Linked DNA regions of Drosophila melanogaster. The protein of the gene in region 1 interacts with the protein of each later gene in a pairwise test. Each region holds a gene or a part of one and is shown on either strand. Other genes may lie near its edges.

Region 1 (4,439 bases):
GCAAGTGCAGCTCGGATCCTCCGGGCAAAGTGTATGTGGCGTATGGGATAGTCCCAATTCTGATTGCTGAGCACGCGGCCAATCAGTCAGCGGGCCATCAATCAACTGATCGCAAACTTAACGCCTGTGCGCCGCTTGATTAATTTAATCATGTGTGATTTGCGACTGTTTGGTTTTTTTTTTGCGAACGTAAACAGCAAATAAATAAATATCGGAGTCTATAGTGAAGGGGATAGTGGATATAATGGCGTTGGAAATTCGATAGCCAGATAGCTAGTTTGTTTAGTTGTTGTACATGCTGGAAAAGTCAACAAACGAAATCGAGAAGGTAAACAAATACATTGTTAGTTGTTAGACAATAACAGAATTAATTGCACAGACCTCACGTAAGTTTTCCTATTATTAGCAGTTCATTTGAAATTCAGATTATCATAATCCTACGTTCGCTGTGTTCTTAAGTTTATGAATTGATCTTGTTCAAATTAGATTCGATTGTTCGTTGTGTGTTCTAAAAAGTAGTTTAATCTGGTTGCGAAACTGGTATTATGAAGATTTCGAAAATATTTCATGCGAAATTAATTTGGATCTAAGCACAAGGATGTTTATTTTTGTAAATGTAAATGTACTGGTATTAAGTATATCATATTATCATACAATTGAAATACATAAATATAATTGTATGTATATCTACGATTCTGCAATATGCTTAATTATTGTTATCATCGTTTTTCCGAGTCCCTGATTACACTTAGCGATATTTGAAGTGCGTTTCAGGGGCGCCAAAGTGCATTGACCAACTTCAATATCAACAACTCGTTGCTGGGAAATAAATATTTGCCCGAAAGTTATTACACGGCCTCAAGCGCTTTGCTGTTGACCAAGAGGCAACAATAAAAAAAAAAGGCCAGGGCCGGATTTTTCAGGCTGCGGACTTTGTTCTTTTGTCGGAAAATGGAAATGAAAAATGGGGTCAGTTCAGGTCAGCACGACAGGATGACGGGGCCACAGAAAATCAATTTACGTGGGCAAGTGCTGGAAAAACCCCCTTTCGGTGGAAACTCCGCCCCTGGCCAACTTAATTGCGGTTTGTTAAGTGGAAAAGCAAAGAAAGAGAAGGTGGACTACAACTTTCAACGGGAAAATTCCTATACACATACTTTATAGGTAATATTAGCGAGAAAACAGAATAAAAACTCACCTTGCTAGTTTTATCAAGGCCATTTCTGTTTTTCGATTTGACTGACGTTTCTCTGATTTTTCTTCTTTTTTTTTTTGGCAGGAGCTACTATTTATGCTATTCGAAATTCGTCGGCTTATTTATTTATCTCCCTATTCCCCTTATTTTTTGCGATTTTGGCAGTGCAAGTAACGGTAAACTAGGAAGAAGTTGAGCGAGCCGAATTCCTTTTGTTGTCTGCTCACTCACACGCACATGCCGACACACAAACAAACGCGCGCGCACACAATCGAATTTATTTCAGCCGGCACAACAAAAACACTGCGCTTTTTCGATACTTACGTTCTGCTTTCTGCTTGTTATTTAGCTATTTATTTAACTCGTTTTTTTTTTACATATTCCCGCACGCACACTGGGTTTTTTCTCTTTGTTTTTTTGTACAGCCTTTCAGTCAAGTGCATTTGGCGATTGATGAAATTGCAACTGCAAATGCACTATCCGCCAAGCCGAGTATTTGACCGGTCAATAGAGATGCACTCCTGGTATTTGCATATTTTGCGTGCCTGTCGGTATATTCTCGTATAGCTGCGCTTGCAGTCCGCATCTAATATTCGGTAGTAACTCGCTCGGCGTCCGTTCACAAATGCAGCGGCATTGAATCGGCGAAATATATCAACCAAATTGCGATATATCGATTTCAGGCGACGAACAGCTGTTGCATCCGAGCTTCGAACCTTTTCATAATATTCAACACGCAGTTGAGCTTCCAACCAATTGGGTTACGTTCTCAGCCGCAATGGCGCTTTACAGTACAGAAACATAGTTTTCCTAACAGAAATGTTAAGTTGAAACGTAGAATAGAAGTTGATTTTTGAAAAAAGTTCTGGCATTTGACACGTATTGTATTTTCTCATTATAATAACAACAAACCATTAAACCAAAATGTGGGAGCAGCTAGCGAGATATCGCAATCACTTTCTGCAACACGAAATCAAGGATGTGATGAAGCCGACCTCCATAAACAGCTTGCAGACTACGGGTAATTTAGTTGCGATATATAATCAGCGAAGGATAATCATAAAAAAAATGGATTACAGAGTGGACGCATCATATGGAGAAACGGAATATTTGCAAGTGTATGCCGCTCTGCTGCAATTCGACCTCGACGCACCTGGCGGATCGTGCTGAACTGGCCTACGGCTGGTTTGCACTGCCCAAATTGCTCAAAGAACTGGATAGTGATGTTAGGCTGACCCATTGGAAGGCAGTCGTATCGTTGTCGGAATTCGTTCTAAATCCACTGAATGCCCAAAGAGCTATCATTGAAATGGACCTTGTTAGAAAGTGGGTTGTCTGCATTGAGGAGTTTTTTTTTTTTGATATCATCCAGTTTCTATCCTACCAATAGGTTGAAGAATGCCTTTATGCGTATGAGATTGAAGCATCACAAGGAGGAGCACCGGGAGGTGGAGATGTATCTAAGGATTTATAGTAAGTTGAAGGTTGTGTGAATTCTTAGAATAAGCTTTTATTTCTTAAAGATATACTATCCCGCAATTTGGATGGAGCCGAAAATATAGCCAACCGCAAGTGCTTAAGGGTGGAGTTTTATAAAATCATTAAGAACCAAGAGCCTATTAAGGATGAATTGGCTTCAGAGATATTGCGAAATTTGACATGCAAGCCAAAAGGTGAGCTCTGCATGCACTTCATTGGATTTAACGGTGTTATATTTTTTCCTAGTTCTGGGTATATTCCTGGAGGATCCTGAAAACTTTTCCGCCTTAGCCGAGATCTTCAGACAGGATCCATGCCGTCCGCAATTCCCGTTGCATTTGTGGCATCACCTGTGTGACATGCTGGAAGTGGCACCCGATCGGGGCATCGAGCTGGGCCTCTTCGAGCTGCTGCACTCGAGGATCCTAAACCGCTTGTCCAACTTCTGGGACATGAACACCAAGGCATTTGCGCTGCTACTCTGCTGTGCTGAGGGTCAGCGGCGTTTCGATGCCGTGGATGGTGTAAAGCTGCTTTACGACGTCTTTGCCCAGCCCGATGAGAATCCGCGAATGTTGCTGCCTCGCCAGAAGGTGGAGAACTGGGAATATACGGCTTTGGCCCTGCTCAATGGGCTCCATAGCAAGCGGGCATTGTGGCGCAGCAGGGAGTTCACCCAACTGCCGTGTTATGTGGGTCGTCTCATGACTTCGACGACGGATAATCCCCGCCTGCAAATTTATTGCCTTAAAGTGTTTCGGGAGTTGGGTGTAATGCCGTGCATTAAGCGCTACATCATTGGCAACTGGCTGCAGGACATCTGCAAGTTGTTCTGCCTGGATGCTGATGCGGAATGCGCCCGTGATGCTTTGGTCGATTGGTTGCGTCGGGATATTGCCGATAGTAGTTAAATCTCACGGTTGTAGTTATATTCATTTGAACCGTATTGTTTGTTACATGGAAAACATCGCTTTTCCCCACTTTCAACCGCTCAGATAAATCCAAACCGTTTCAAAAGCACCCCTGCTGATGTCCCAAAGAGAAAACGGTTAAAAGAGGGGCAGAAATGGCAAAGAGAGGGAGAGAGAGAGCTTTGCTGTTTAGCAAAACATTGTAAATTGTAGTAAATATTTAGCAACTCTCGAGCATTTCGTTTGATGTTTATTTATAAATCTCTTAAAAATAAATTCATCCTGTACTTGACCCTGTCAACTATTATTTACGTCATTATATCAATTGAATATAATCTATGACTGCATTGAATATTCATAGAACGTGTGAGCGAAAGTGTGGATTGTCACGAAGGCAGGAAACTTTTCCAATTTCCGATGCCTGGACATTGCCGACAATAATGAGCAGTGGCACTCTGCAAGGCGAAAAGGATGTAAGTATGCAAGGATGCCAGGATGCGGTGCTGGCAGGACAAGCACCGCAAAAATAACAACAAGAGTGCAAAAGTAACGACCACTGACCAGAGAAGCCACAGCGACCGCAGTTTGCGGTTCCTTTCAAGCCTCCACTGCGCTGTTTTTCCACATCTACATATTTTAATATCTATCTTCTATATATATGTATTATATATGTATATAGAGAGCATTTTTTCCGTATTATTTTTCTGCGGTGACAAACTTGGCAACGAGTCGCAGTTCCTTTTTAATTTATTTGAATTGGCAATGGGTAGGAGTCCGTCCGGCTGCCCGGGCCACATTTCGCATTCAATCGGCAAGTTTTACGCCTTGTCATCGGCGGAATTCTTCTTGGTAGC
Region 2 (6,908 bases), on another chromosome or scaffold:
AACTTCCACCAGTTTGCCTTATATTGCGTTAGAATGAAGTTCATATTTTTCTGTATTGTAGCTGTAATTTTAGTGGCATCTGTGAAGTCCATGGTTTTTGTGAAGATACTGCACAATGAGAGTAATGCGTTGAGAAAACTTTATATGTAAGAATAATAAAGTCTCATTAAAACGCTTTGGTAGAGTACCCCGGCCAGTGTTACCCCATCCATGTTCGAGTGGGTAAAAAGAAGCAATACGATGTTTTTGCCCTACAACCCGGCGAGGAAGTCAGTGATCCAAACACTTGCGGCGTGCAGGTTTGCATGAACTCCGAAGGACTTACTCATGTCTACTAGTAAGATCGATCCAATTTGAAATGATATACCCTAATGCATATGATATCCAAGCTATTTTCCAGCTGTCCTCGCACTTTGCCGAGCAGTGGCTGCCAGGACGATAAGGCCATGGACTTGTTGCTAAAATTTCCGGAATGCTGTTGGACTTGTGCCACCAGTAGGGACTGCGATGAAGACCAGTCCTTTCCTTCTTATCCTTATCCTCCCGAAATACGTGATGATCAACCAGAATAATCAATCTGCCACAAAAAACTTAGATTTTCCGAAATGTAGAAACCATATATTATTCTGAGTTATTTTGAAAAAATACAAATGCAAAGAAAAAGTTTAGTACTCTAGCAGTATTTGCTCTTGAAGTCATAGTCATCCTCCGATCCGGTGGCCAGTAGCTCCTCCTTGCAGCCATGGTGCAGTCGATGCACATCCGTGTCGAAGCACTCATCGTGGAGTCGTTTGTCCCGGCTTTTACTTCGCTGCCGCCTGGAATGCGATGAGTGACCGTGTCCGTGTCCATGTCCGTGGTGATTGTGCACATGGCTGCTGGAACCATGATGATGCTCAGACGGTGGTGAGTGATGGCTGCTGCCTGAATGGATGGTCGCCTTATGGTGGAAGGAAGTTGGCGGAGGACTGAGCTCCCTTGGCGGGCGACAGTGGCTGGATGGCGGTATGGGATCATCGAACCGAGGACACGGATGATCTCCAACTGGCGAAGCTGTCTCATAGCGTTTCGAAAGCATTGTGAACTCCTGATGTGCCGAGCACAGGGCCTGCAGGCGATGCAGAAGATCCGTTTCCGGCAGGTCGCGAAGATGCAGTGTCCTGGCCACCGATGTGCGGAAGGATTGCAAATGCGAAAGCCGCTGATTGGCATCCGAGAGTTGGGAGCTCAAGCGACTGACATCATCGCGCATAGACTAAAAATTTCAAGAAAGATTTAGTATGTGAATTTTTACATAAACTATACTTTTATTTACATTTATTAGCGCCTCATCGCGGCATCTGCGATTCTGATTGGATTCACAGGAGGACTTGAGGCGCTCCTTCAGGGCATTAAGTTGGGAGAGCAGGCGCGTCTTCTCATCCTCCAGATCGCATATCTGTGTGGTCAGCTCATCGATCTTTCTGGCCCTCTCCAACGAGGTGATCTTATACTCCACAGCCTCGGCTAGCTGGGCCTTGACCTCTGCTATCTGAGATCGGGCATCGGCCAGCTGGGCACTCAACTTGTCCACCTGCTTGGCCGCCTTCTTGGCCCGGCAAACCGCCTCATCCCGTTCACCCTGCAACATGCACTTTCCTCGCGCACCGTCCTCTATGATGGCCAGCTTGCGACGCAGTAGCTCCAGGTGGAGATCCCGTCGCTGCACTTGCTCCCTGAGAACTCGAACACGTCGCTGCAGGTTGTAGACACTGCTGCTTTCCTTGAGGGGAATGTCATGACAGGATCTCTCGCGGCGAAGTTTCCCATGACCATGTCCGTGATCACAGCAACCCTTATCCGGACTGTGATGATGATGATGATGATGAGGTGCCTCGTGGTCGCAGTGAGCGGCGAGTCTCTCGGCTCTCTCAAGCAAGTTCTCCGCCATTAGATTGGTATCAGTTCCAAGAGCCGGAGGGGCAGAGCACTCACCCCAGTTCATCGCGAGGGCCAGTCGCTGCAGGAACTCCGATAGACCCATGTGATCCTTTCGAAGAGTATGGATCTCGGCATGGCACTTCTCCAAGCGCTCAGTTAGCTCACATTTCTGAGCCTCGCCAGAACGGAGGCGACATTCGGTGGTCTGTTGGGTTTCCTTAAGCTTCTCATGCTCCGAGTTCAGCTGATCTCGCAGAGAGTGCATTTGCTAGAGGGTATACAAATTGGTTTATTGTTTAAATGAATTATGAATTAATAAGTTCGATTACCGCATGCATGGCCTGGTTCTCCGCCAGAATCTCTCTCAGCTTGTCCTTGATGAGCGTTTCGCACGGTTCGGGAACATTCAAGAGATTGCTCAATCCCCGCAAGAACTGCAGACGATCGCCCTGAGTCCGGTCCAGGTTGTTTTGCAAACGATGGCATCGCGACTCAAAGCCGCGCAGCTCTTCCTTGAGCTTCTCGCCGTTGATTTCCGATTCAGTCAAGCGATCTCTTTGGATCTGAAGATCCCTTTCGTATTGGCGACAGCGTCCTTCCAACTCGTGGTTGTGATTGCCAGCTCCATCAAGTTGGGCCGTGAGCCGCTGCTTCTCAATGTTGGCCAGCGACTTCAAGTTGAGCAGTTCATTTTCGCAGGAGCTGAGCGTGTCGCAGGTGGAACTGACCTTGGCTTTCGTCCTTTGCAGCTCCACCATCACCTCCTCGGCCCGCGAGATGATGCACTCGGGTGTGGCATGGGAATTCTGATTGCCATCGCACACATCCATTCCCAAAGTGATGCTAAGGCGTCGCAGGAGATCGTGCAGCTGAGCCTTGATCTGCTCCTTTTGCGATTCCTCACTGGCCATATGCGTTTCCAGATGCTGTATCTTGCAGATTAGCTCTTTGTTGCGCTCGTCGGAGCTACGCTTCTCCCGCTGCACCGTCTGAATGGTGGAATCACATCGGGCCTGGACAGCCTGCTCCCTGCTCTCCGAGTTTTGCAGACGACTCTGGAGGGATCCGATGAGGGCAGTCTGCCGAGCAGCCTGGGCTCGCAGATTCTCGATATCCGCATCTTTGCTGCACAATGCTGCACGCGCTTCAGCAAGCTAGGATAAGTGTAAGTATATGTATATCCTTTGCATTACTTGATTCTATAATAAATTGATTCTTTTATTTACCTCCCCCGTAAGTCGCTCCTTTTTGTAGGACAACGCAGCCAGTTCACTGCGCAGTGTGGTGGTCAAGTCGAGACCATGATGATGTTCTGTCACAGTGATTCCCGTATTGCTGCAGGATGTGTCCAGCTGGATAATCGCATTTAAATTTGGAGAACACACAAAAGGTTTTGATTTGCGGAGTTATTAATTAATTACATATAAATTTATCTAATTTCCTAGTTTAGAAAACATTTTCAAAAAATGTATACTTTCTACATTCTTGAATATATTGGCTCTATTAAATAAATGTACCATTTTCACATTTTCCTGTTATTAAAGTTATATTTATACAATTTAAGATAAAATGGTTTTGAACCATTCAGACTTTCATTATTTTTTGTAAATTTTAATTGTACTTTTAATTATAATATGTAATTTTTAACTGTGATGGCATTAACATTGTCCCAATGCCCACCAAGTGATGATGATGCGGAGATAATCCACCAGTGTGTCCCAAGTGATGGTGATGCAGATGATTTTCACTGGGCATATTTAGAGCCACGAATATTTAAAGCACTCCAAGAACCAAGTCAACTGTTCCCAGTAAAAGCCGTCGAAGAACTGAACTTTGGTTCGGGAATAACCACTTTCGGAAGCCTAACAACCTCCACCTAACAACTGAGGGGAGTCCGATGCATGGCACCGAGGAATTTACCCCAACATAACATCACACAGTGCTCAAATTTATGCTCCAAGTGAAAACGAGCTCAATGGCAGGAGCAAGGGGCTTTGGATAGGGGGGCAGCCGTGTGGAGCTCGAAAGGTGTAGCCACGATTACACTTACACATGGGGGAAACTTTGCAGTTTGTTTGGATTATTTGGGTCATTCACATGGCGCCAAGTGGCGAAGTATCAAATGCAATATCCACAACGGACTCACGCACGCAAGTGCGGACGCCACAGGGTTTGGGGTTTTGGGTGCTCCGGGGCTAGGTGGATGGATATACGATGGAAATTTTCAACTTGGCCGGAAACGGAAAATGAGGTGTGCAACTTTTGGCCAATTGTCTGCAATTTAGGAAGGAGCAACGGCAAGACAATTGGGAACTGAAATGTGTTGAACATTCGATAAGCTTGGCCGGGTTAATTATGAAGCCAATTCAGGTTGCCTCTTTAATGAAATTGAAATGGGCGAAATGGGAAATGTTTCAAACATTTAAAAGATATTTCATTGAACTTGATTTTGGGCTTGCTCCTTAGGCTTTCACAAGTCCTCAATTCAGTAAATTAGATGCAATGGCTCCATTTTATCCTATTGTGTGTTTATGAATAGCTTTACAATCATTCATATGTATATTTTGATTATGCAGCCCCACCCACATGGCAATACGAACCACTGTATCCCCCAGACCAATCGAGTTTTATGCAAATCCCCCCACAAACATCATTAGTTCCCCTAACAACCGCATACATTTGAAACATAAAAAATAGCGAACAAAAGTCGTTATTCAATTGCGAATTCACATAAATCTATCTTGATATGATGTCTACACGCTTTTATGGCAATTTGGCGCACGATTTTGGCAAAATAGTTAAGCGACAAAAACTACTCACCTGGCAAAATGGAATGGCTGGTTGTGGCAAAGGTGACATTGTGGTCATCCGTGCGGGAATCGTTTTCGGGTCCTGATCAGCACCGAACAAGACCTCGAACACCTGCCAGTCCTCGGGTGTGTTGCCATTGGTCGTGGGTCGCGGATTAAGTGGCATTCCAATGGATTTTATCCGGATGAACTCGATCCGCCTCCGACTGGCGTTGGAAAAATTCTACTCTATGTTTTCTAAGCGTAAATAATACACCCGACCCGACCAGGCAACAAGAAGAGGCAAAGTTATGCGGCAACTTTCAGGTTGCCACGGCGCATAAAATAACTATGCATGAGGCGATACTACACTAGATGGTGAGGGTGTGGTTCCTGGTGGGTAACTACGGTGACTAAAGTGCACATAATTCGATTTTCTAAACTGCAATAGCCGTAGAGTGGTAGGAGGGGCAGTTACCCCGCAGCCGTTTGCCTGTAATTTCATTTGTCTCCGCCAAAAATAATGAATATGGTAAATGTTTGCCCTAACTTGGCGCCCACTCCCCGTCCGATGGAATAACCCCCTTAATGGCCTGATCCTTTGACAGTGACTTTGAAGGCAACAACCCTTTGGGGTTAAGTTCATGCATTTCGGGATTTTGATTATTTTGTTTGGGTTGCCAACATAAATAATAGTTGTCGAATTTTGATGAGCTCCAGCATTTCGCCTGCTTCATTTTGGATTCCTGGCGCTTATACATGGTGATTTCACTTCCGTTGCTTATTTTGCCTAGCGAAATTAAACAATTTATATTAATTTTCAATTACATATCATCTTTAAGATTAACTAATTTGTAAAGGCTTGTAAAGGGAAATATCTATATAGCCCACCTGTTTTTGTTGACGAGCTTTAGTTTGCGTTTCCATCAACTTTTTGATCTCGGCTATTTTTCGAAGGTACATTTCCTCCTGTTCCAAGCAGAGCTTGTGATCGTCCTTGACCTTCTGCAGTGCGAGCCTGGCGATCGTGCACTGCACCTCGGCGCTTTCCAGATCCCGCTCCAGCTTGACCTCCCACTCCCTATTGCGTGTCTTAAGCTTTTCCACTTCCCAGGAGTATATCATCTCCGAGCTGCGCTGCACCGTCATGTCCTGTTCCAGCTTGGTTTTCAGTTCCATTAACTCCTTCCTCAGCAGATCCTCGCGCTTACAGTTAAGCATTAGTCTCTGATCCATACAGCTGTTTACCCACTTGATATGGTAACGCATCTGTATCGGATCAGTCACTATGAAAATGTACAAAAGATACATTAAATTTTTGTAATATTTTACAACTCACAACTACTGCCCTCGAAGAGGTCTACGAGTGCAGTTCGATTGATATCCAGACTGGATACGCTGGATTCCACTGCCAGGCTACTGTTGCTCATTCCCTCCTTGATCCGGCAATTGTCCTTGAGGTCCTTAATCCAAGCACCAACCGTGTTGTACTTGCAATCTCTAAGAATATAAGTGTTTCCAATATAGAATGTTCTTCTTGATGGAAATGGGGCCAATACCGTATTAGTTGTATGCTATTTTCGCAAAGGTCGTCATCCTTTTGAAAGTCCTCTCGCATTTCGTGTAGAATTTGTTCGATCTCTTTCAGATCAGTTCGGAACTTTACGCAGTCGAGATCCTCGGAACTCCGTTCGCGATGGATCACGTCCAGGTACAACTGGTTATGTTCCAGTCGTGCCAGGAAGTGATCCAGCGACCACTTGAACAGATTGTAGGGAATCTCGTCGATCTTTCCGGGCCAAGGACTGGAAAACAGACGCAGTTGCTTCAGCAGGCGAACGGATAGGAACTCGATGGCCGCCTTCTGGCATTTGATATTCAACTCGGTCATCATGGACGAACGCAATTTAATGCTTTCTATGGCCTCCTGAACGGTCTTCCTTCCGCTCTCCCTCTTCCGCATCCTGGCCATCTGCCGCACCACCATAGCCTCTGCTCCATTTTCGACCACCCGATCCACGGTCTCCACAGCATAATCAACCACGGATTTGCTCCGAAGGGATAATGCGGCCAGCATCGAACTCACACGGCGTTCGTGATCCTCGATGATTGTGCTAAGGAATTTATCACGGCATTGGGAGGGATCGAGCTGATCCGGCAAGGGGAACTGAATCGCAAAAGGATCCGATTCCTTTTCCT

The links.
Region 2: the proteins of CG13501 (region 1) and CG43338 interact in a two-hybrid assay, tested with the Drosophila melanogaster proteins (one large-scale study listed by BioGRID).

Annotation. Positions count from the first base shown.
Region 1 is NT_033778.4:22,058,341-22,062,779, reverse strand, and holds CG13501 (uncharacterized protein), read left to right. Parts: upstream 1-2,069; 5' UTR 2,070-2,119; coding exon 2,120-2,216; intron 2,217-2,274; coding exon 2,275-2,521; intron 2,522-2,585; coding exon 2,586-2,668; intron 2,669-2,718; coding exon 2,719-2,868; intron 2,869-2,920; coding exon 2,921-3,585; 3' UTR 3,586-3,876; downstream 3,877-4,439. Other genes in the region: Snp (snipper), read right to left, coding at 1,199-1,221.
Region 2 is NT_033779.5:18,666,292-18,673,199, forward strand, and holds CG43338 (uncharacterized protein), read right to left. Parts: upstream 4,956-6,908; 5' UTR 4,897-4,955; coding exon 4,741-4,896; intron 3,753-4,740; exon of another isoform or gene 3,676-3,752; coding exon of another isoform or gene 3,601-3,675; intron 3,273-3,600; coding exon 3,147-3,272; intron 3,075-3,146; coding exon 2,250-3,074; intron 2,189-2,249; coding exon 1,316-2,188; intron 1,258-1,315; exon of another isoform or gene 1,256-1,257; coding exon 674-1,255; 3' UTR 601-673; downstream 1-600. Other genes in the region: CG43339 (uncharacterized protein), read right to left, coding at 5,491-5,499, 5,601-5,995, 6,049-6,209, 6,269-6,908.